Linked DNA regions of Ovis aries. The protein of the gene in region 2 interacts with the protein of the main gene of each other region in a pairwise test. Links are inferred from orthologs where the notes say so. Each region holds a gene or a part of one and is shown on either strand. Other genes may lie near its edges.

Evidence for each region.
Region 1: the proteins of REL (region 2) and OSTF1 interact in binary tests that used the Homo sapiens proteins (3 or more experiments, as listed by UniProt). The two-hybrid records come from large-scale screens. The link is inferred for Ovis aries from reciprocal best matches to the Homo sapiens genes REL and OSTF1.

The regions. Positions count from the first base shown.
Region 1 is NC_056055.1:61,718,000-61,722,357, forward strand, and holds the start of OSTF1 (osteoclast-stimulating factor 1), read right to left. Parts: upstream 2,860-4,358; 5' UTR 2,673-2,859; coding exon 2,639-2,672; intron 1-2,638.
Region 2 is NC_056056.1:63,118,436-63,121,995, reverse strand, and holds part of REL (proto-oncogene c-Rel), read left to right. Parts: intron 1-1,888; coding exon 1,889-2,031; intron 2,032-3,560. UniProt on the Homo sapiens protein: Proto-oncogene that may play a role in differentiation and lymphopoiesis.

The DNA.
Region 1 (4,358 bases), on a different chromosome or scaffold from region 2:
ACCCAGATCTTGCACTGCAGGAAGCTCTAAAGACTAGCATTATGATGTCCCACTTGTGTTTCTTGTAGAGATGTCCAGTTCACGGCAATACTTAAAGAGAACCCACCCATGAGAAGTTCATTTCAGATCTCACTACCACTGTAATAACTCTTCTCAGAGCAAGTAATACATTTTAATTTTATGAACACTGAGAATCTTAGTAATTGATCTGTTCTCTCTCTCTGCTTGAAGCAAAGAGCCAAATCTACAGGCCTTCTTTAGAAACTTTGCAAGTTCTTACAACATGCATGTCTGTAAGATAACTTTCTCTCCAGTTTCCTCTTGTTATTCTTCCCTCCTTCTATAGGACCCCACTTCCTGCATCTTTTTTTTTTTAATCAAGTCTCATTCAGGATGAGGCAGGGGTGCAAACAAACCAAGAAGCTAAGAATTAAATACACCCTGCCTTCCAATTCCAAGTTTGCTTTTGACATTTTCACCCATCTATCTTGCCTACAGGACAAGAAAGTCTGACTGAGGACCAGAGACACTCTCCTTCCCACTTCCTGCCTACCAGGAAGTACACATGATGACAGGAGTTAATGGTAGGCTTTGATGTAAAGCACAGTAACATCACAGTTAAGAGCTCAGACTCTGGGGCCAAACTGCCTGGGTTCTAATTCTGCCCACTCCTCTCCACTCAGTGGCTAATCTTGGGCACCTTAACTTGACCTTTCTTGACTTAGCTTCATTTCCGCATCTGTGAAATGGGAACAATGCAGGTACTGACCTCATAGGGTTATTGTGAGAGGTAAATGAGATAATACACGGAACGTGCTTAGATCAGTGCCTGGCACACTGTAAACGAGAGCCAGGACTATAATAGTCCCCTTCTGTTTTCAACTAAGCCAGGCCACACAAAGTTTCAAGTTGGATTAAAAGTAATATTTCTCACTGTAAATAGGTCACTGACAGATTATTTCTAGGGTGATCTTATTTTAGTTTGGATCTCATTTACAAATCAATGTGGAGTCTGAATAGTAGTCATTTTTTAACCATTTGCTTTCTGATTTACTGAATAGAAGGAGAAAGCAGGAAGGTCAGACAACAAAAATGGTTCCTGAGAGTGTATTTCCAACTGGTCACAGTGTGATCCCTACACCCAGGCAAATACACAAAAACATATCACATCCGTGCCCCTCCAGCTGTAGCACAGACATCACCGAATGTCTAGAGATGAAAAACCTCATGAATGGCTTCTCAGGACCTTCTCTGAAATAAAGTACTCTGTTCAGTTATCAAAGAATAACTCTGTTGTGTTGATTACTTGAGGTCCTGATTTATACTTAAGTTTTAAAAGCTGCCATTTTCCACAAAGGCACTTAGAAGGCAAATTCCTCATCAGACTCCATTTCTAAAGAAACACAGAGCCCAATCCTAGCCATGTCCCACCTTCGCAAACACCAGAGCCAAAGTCCCAGCAAAGTCACACCCCAGTCCACCAAAATTCAGGTTCTGGGTGACTGACTATGTCACATATGCGAGTGTGTACAGAATTTTCAAATAAAATGACTTGGAACTACCACTGCATGATGGTGAAGAAAGAGAACTGGATGAAAGTTGAACAGCTTGACTAAAGTTTAGAAAAATCAAGAAAAAAATCAATCACTGAAACGACTCTCTCAATCAAGGTTACTTTGAAACTGGATGTAAATAGATTTCAGATTTCAGATTTCAGCCTGTAACATACTGAAGTTACCTAAGACCAGGAAGAAAAAAGCTGAGAGTATGTCAGAGCCATTTCTCGTCCATTTTCTACGTTTTCTGTAATCACCTACCCAATGAAGGTATGAGTTTCTTACAGTATCGAACTGAAATGCCTCAGTCCCTTTTAAATTCTTTCTCCCTGTCCCAGAAAATATTCTAGGGATCGAAGAAGAAATGAACAAGGAACATTCGCCAAAAGACCTGCTTTGAGGAAATCTCACCCTTTCCAGTTTAACTCGACAAACTCACAGAGGGAGTAAAGCAAAGGACTTGTTCAGCACTATAAAGTGACATTTCCGAATAGAAATAACTGAGATTACGCTGCCGCAGCCTAGATTTTTCTAGTCAGGAGCTCAACTACAGTTTCCTAAACGCTTTTCCCAAGATCTTAAGGTCAATTTGCTGCTCCTCTCTAAAGTCCCAAAGGAGACTCGCTCACCCACCCCACCCTATAAGCAGCGCACTTCCCGTTCGCTTTGGCCGGTCAAGAACTCAAACTTGACAGTGACACACAGTGAAGGAAAAAAAAAAAAAGAGGAAGTGGATGAAGAAAAAACCATTTCAAGACTTTTTTCTCCCCCCTAAGGGAGATCAATGGCCCTGTTTTCCAGGAAAACGTCAATGGGACGTAGCCATCACATCGATGGGAAAGCTGCAGCGAATGGCAACGCTGAAAAACCGAGGGTGACTCCTCTTTAAAAATGAAAATTTTCAAATTCCTCGAAAATCTTGCGATCTGTCTCCTGGAGCGAACGCAACAAATCCCACCCTGGTGCGTGGATCGCGAAAGTGAGGCTCGGGGCCGGGTACGTGCCTGACCTGCCCTGCCAAGGGGGCAGAGGGAGCGCGGGGCACCGCTACCGGCCCGGGATCCCCCGAGCACCTCCCTTACCTGGTTTGACTGGTTTGGGTGGCGGCTTCGACATCTCTCTTCCTGGAGCGGCTGATTCTGAAGACCACGCACGGAAAGTCAACCAAACGTGCCTCCAGCCGACACTCTGAGCGCCTCAGTTTCTTTTTGTCTGCTTTGCAGCGGTGCGCCTCCAGGGACCGGTGTCTACTCTCGGCAGCCGGACAAACCGAGGCAGGCAAGGCGGCTCAGCGAAGTGCCCCGCCCCGCCCCGCCCCGTGGCCGACCGAGCTGTCCGGGGCGCGCGGCCCCGCAGACGAGGAAGTGGCCGCCGCCTAGCCGAGTGCTAATTGGCTCCCCTGCTGCCCGCTCCGCCGCGGCAGGAGCGCGGGCGGCGCGCACGGCGGCGCGCCGGGAGGCAGAACCAGACGGAGCCGGACCGGGAAGCCGCAGGCTCGCGCCGGGGCCGCCCTGGCCGCGCGCACCCTGGTCGGGAAAGGGCCGGACAGGGCAGGATCGCGCGCGCAGGCGCGAGGCCACGCACGCCAGAGGCCCGCCCCGCCCAACGCCGGCCAGAGCCTGCTGCCGCGTCCGCTCCAGGTGGTACGGAACCTAGGTTGGCCTTCTCTACCCTGGGCAGCCTCTGACCCGGAAGGGGAGCGGGGAAAGAGGCTGTGCGCCTCTTGGTTAACGAGCTTCAGGGGTTGCGGCGGGTTAGTGACAGGCGCGCGCGTAGCGATCGCCTGTGCCGCTTTGCTCGGGAGCAGTCGAACGAACTAGCGCCCGGTGAGTAGTACCTGCCTGACTCCGCGCTCCCCGCCACGCAGACTCGCTGGGGCCTGGAGGTGTTTCCAGAGTGTTCCTGCGCTGGAGCCTGAGCCTGGCCGTGTCTTGCAAGCTCTGTCAGGATATCTACCACCCTAAATAAACTGATAAGTGGCCTGCCCAGGAGAAAGTGTTGTCCTAATGGGGTACTACTCTCACGCCCCCTAATAATCCTTAAAATGGGAATCGGTCTTCTGGAGACCATACAGGTTTTGGGGAGAAGTCACTGGGGTAGGGGTGAGGTCTTGATCCCTATCGGAGGAGGCAATCTTCCTCCTTTAGAGTTGAGAGTGACTGACGGAGGCCCTCGTTGTTGCCTGTTACTGTATAGCCTAAGAATGATTTTCATGTTTTTTTTTTTTTAGGATGGATTAAAAGAAATCAAAAGAAGTAGAGTTTGTGGTACGTGGGAATTATATGAAATTCAAATTTCAATGTCCGTAAAGTTTATTAGAACACAGCCACGCTCATTTGCTTCTGTATTGCCTGTGGCCACTTTCACTTCCTAACAGCAGAGTTGAGCAGCTGCCCACGAAACCCAAAACATTTACGGTCTAGAACTTAGCAGAGCAAGTTTGCCCACCCCAGACCTAGCAGGTTGAATCTCCACTGGGAGGCAGGGGCTAGAACAGACAAGAAACGCAGCGGGTGAAAATTTAGAATAGTATAGGCAATATGATAAATCACTTGTATAGAGGGGGGGAGATAAAAATTGAGAAGAAAACCCTTTGCATGAGAGTCTAGGTAAAATGAAGCTTCGAAGTCTACTAGGAATTAAGTGAAACAGTGATTACAAGACAAAGGGGCAAGGGTTGTGTATTCGGACAGGCAAGCCTTGGTGTTTACCAAAAGGGAGCAAAGTTTAAAAAAAAAAAAAATAGTAGAAAAAGACTTCCCTGTCACATAGAAAGTAATCAAAATGTTGAAGAAAATAAAT
Region 2 (3,560 bases):
ACTCTGGTTCTGGTTTTCTTTCTAAGGGTAGAAGTGTATCTCAGCTCCATTGGGGCTGTCGTGTGATTCTTTAGCTCTTTTTTTCTGTGCCACCACCTTTGAACACCCTCTTCCCTTTCCCTCGAAATGCCTGCCTTTCTTCCTTCCTCCTCCTAACTCCCCACCCAGTATTTCAGTAACTTTTGTTTTCCTTGACATAGGATAGGCTTTCCTGACTCTTTTGCTCTTATTATCATTTTATGCAGAATTTTGTTAGCATAAACAAAATTTTTTTTATTCCCTCCTCTATAGTCTAATAATTCGTGTTGTTTGCCACATTGTTCTGTAAGATCCTTGAAAGTAGCAGTTGTTATACTGTCATGGTACCACTATAAATTACTGCTTTCAATAAAGCATCTAGAATAAGAATAAACCATTTATTGAATATTTGTTATATGCCTGACACTTGGTAAGAAACATGTTATCCCTGATCTTCACAACACCCTATGTGATAGGTGTTATTGTTATTATGTCCATTTTATAGAGGAGGAAACTTAAGAGATATTTCCAGTGTCTTCAATGTTAGGAAGTGGCTGAGTTGGACTCAAAAGGCCTCTTCCCCATACTGCACTGATACGACCCACTGTGTTACCCTTTCTGAAGATTTGCTTGCATCCTAACAAGAGGATAAGCCTTTAGTTAAATAAATGGATATCTAACTGTGGGAATTTAGAAATCACTAAACCGATCGAGGCAGGGGTTTTTTTGGGGGTTGTGGTTTTTGATTTGGGGTTTTTTCATGGAAGACATCTTTATACCCCCGAAATAAAGATGCATTGCTAATATCCTACTTGTAAGCACACTGGTGTGCTTTATTTAACTGTCATTTCAATGATTTGGATAATAAGAGGGGATAAAGGTGCATATGTTTTAGACAACTTTATTGGCATATAACTAATGTACACTGTTTATAGAGTATGCAATTTGATAACTTTTGACATATTTATACAATTTTGAGATCAACACAGTCAAGTAATTAACATGTCTATTGTCCTCCAAAGTTCCTCATCCACTCCACATCCCTATGCTTAGGCAACCAGTGATCGGCTTTCTTTCATTATAGATTAGTTTACATATTCTAGAGTTTTATATAAATGGAATCATAACACATAAAATTATGTGCACTTTTGATTTGACTTCTTTCACTGAACATATTTACATATTTATCCACATTGTTGGGTATGTCAGTAGTTCATTCTAAAGGTATATTTTGAATTACATTCATTACAGAAAGTAAATAATTATTTTCCTCTATAGTGTCTTATACTTTAGAGGGATTGATTGAAAATTCTTTTGAACCTAAGTCCCTTCTGGAAGTTGTTTTGATGTACTATGTGTAAGTCCTGAAGAGTCCAATGGAGATATTAGAAAAATTTAACATTTCCTTCTGCATTTTTATTTTCAATGAACAGTCTTAGTACACTTAAGATAAGCCTAATGTAAAATCAAGCAAAATCACTTTTGGAATATAATATTGTACTTCTGAAGACTAGCTTCTTGACACTTCTTGGAGAATTTTGGGGGAAAACCCTTCTGTTTGGTCTCATGTAAGTGGGTATCTCTGAAGTGGTTATCACAGAACTTCATGGTAGCATTAGTTATAGATATTAAACGATAAAGTGCTAGCCAGTAAATATGATTTGAATGACTTGTGTTTACACAGTAAGGGATTGCAGTTTGAATGAGAGAGGAGTGTCTTCAACACCCAGTCTTGGATAATTGCATTTCAACCTTGTTATTTAGTAGAGAGGGAACATTTTTTAGACTACTGTTTTCTAAAAAGCAAAATGGTTAAAATCCATTATTATTTTGATTGTAATTTCACTCTTCCCCCTTTTAAAATTTCCAGGTGGGGTTAACACACGTATAGAGATAATTGAGCAACCCAGGCAAAGGGGAATGCGTTTTAGATACAAATGTGAAGGGCGATCAGCAGGCAGCATTCCAGGGGAGCACAGCACAGACAACAACAGAACATACCCATCCATCCAGGTAATAGAATGCTCCTGTGTGTGTGTATGCCTCTTAGTTGCTTCATACTTTAGCTACAGCAATTATTTAAAGATCCAGCTTCTTCACAGTGATCTCCACCAGCTTTTCTTTTCTTTTTTTTCCCTCTTTTTTCTTTTTAATTAATCCCTAGTGGAGAGCGTGCTTGGGACATTTCTTAAGTACAGTGTGGACTCTTCATTCCAGCAGATAGTTATACTTGTGTGTTACTCTAAGTGATATCCAGTGGTTAGTGTACATTGGCAGCTTTTGGATGATTATCCCTTTCATGGGACAAAAAGCTAATGAGGAAAAAGCTTTCTCTCCTTCCAGAGGCGGGCAGAATTGTTCTGGAGTTTAAAAACATGTATTTGGGAACTGACTTAGAATTCTTCCTGCAGTCAGTTGGCTAATCTAGGGGCTATGGATAAAGAAAACATTTTTGTCTTTTTTTTCCTTATCTTTATTGCTTGTCCCTGATACTCTGGGTTGCCTTGACTGATTTGAAATATTGTCACTTTTTAAATACAGTGTTTTCATGTTAGCATAAAATTTGAAAGTAATTTTGTAATCTAGAATGACTTTGGTAATATACTGTATTTATAAACTATGCTATGTTTATATTTGTATATAAATTTTCTTCCATTTTTAATGATTTTTTATTCTTTAAATGACAGTTTAAAACCTTAATGGCAGAGGGCATTTTGAAAAGCATTATTTAATGTTTTATCAGTAGATTTTAAGCTACTGTTTTATAACTACATTATTTACAAAATTTACTCTATTGGACTTTAAGAAAATGCTAAGTTATATAACAAACCAGTAGCAAAATTACATATTGAATTCCAAATTCCAATCTTTTATCACATTTTTTGTTAGCAATGTAGATTTGAGTTAAATCTAAGTCTTTTTTTTTAATATTAAAATGGGAGAGATGTTACTGAAAAGTAAATAAGAAAATAGTAATCCTTTCCTATAAGAGCAATTTTAAACTCTTCTCCATAATTCAGCTTATTCTATATAGTCTCTTAAATATTTCTATGATCTGTATCCTTGCCATAACAACATGTTCTGAACAGCTTTGCAGCTTGAGTTCTACATTAGCCTACCTTTCACTTTTTTTTTTTTTTTTTTTTTAGCTGCAGTACACTGCTTCCAGGATCTTAGTTCCCCAACCATGGATCAAATCTGTGCCCCTTGCAGTGGAAGCTCAGAATCCTAACCACCAGACTGCCAGGGAATTTCCAACCTTATACTCTTAAATTTTTACTTTCTCTTTTATTCAGAAAGGCAATAAATACTTTCTGATTACTGTTCAAATTAAGTTTAAATTCAGAGTTCAGGATTTTAATGCCCTTTTACCTGTGAAGCCACCCATTTTTACTTAACTGCCTTGCTCCCTTGTATGCTGTTTTTTAAATGTTTCCTGCTTTGTGCTTACAAATTTGCTAGCTTCCAAAGTAAATACTAACTCCTTCCCACAAGCTCCTCCTTCCTCTCCCATGTTTAACTCTTCTCTTCATTCTCAGTGT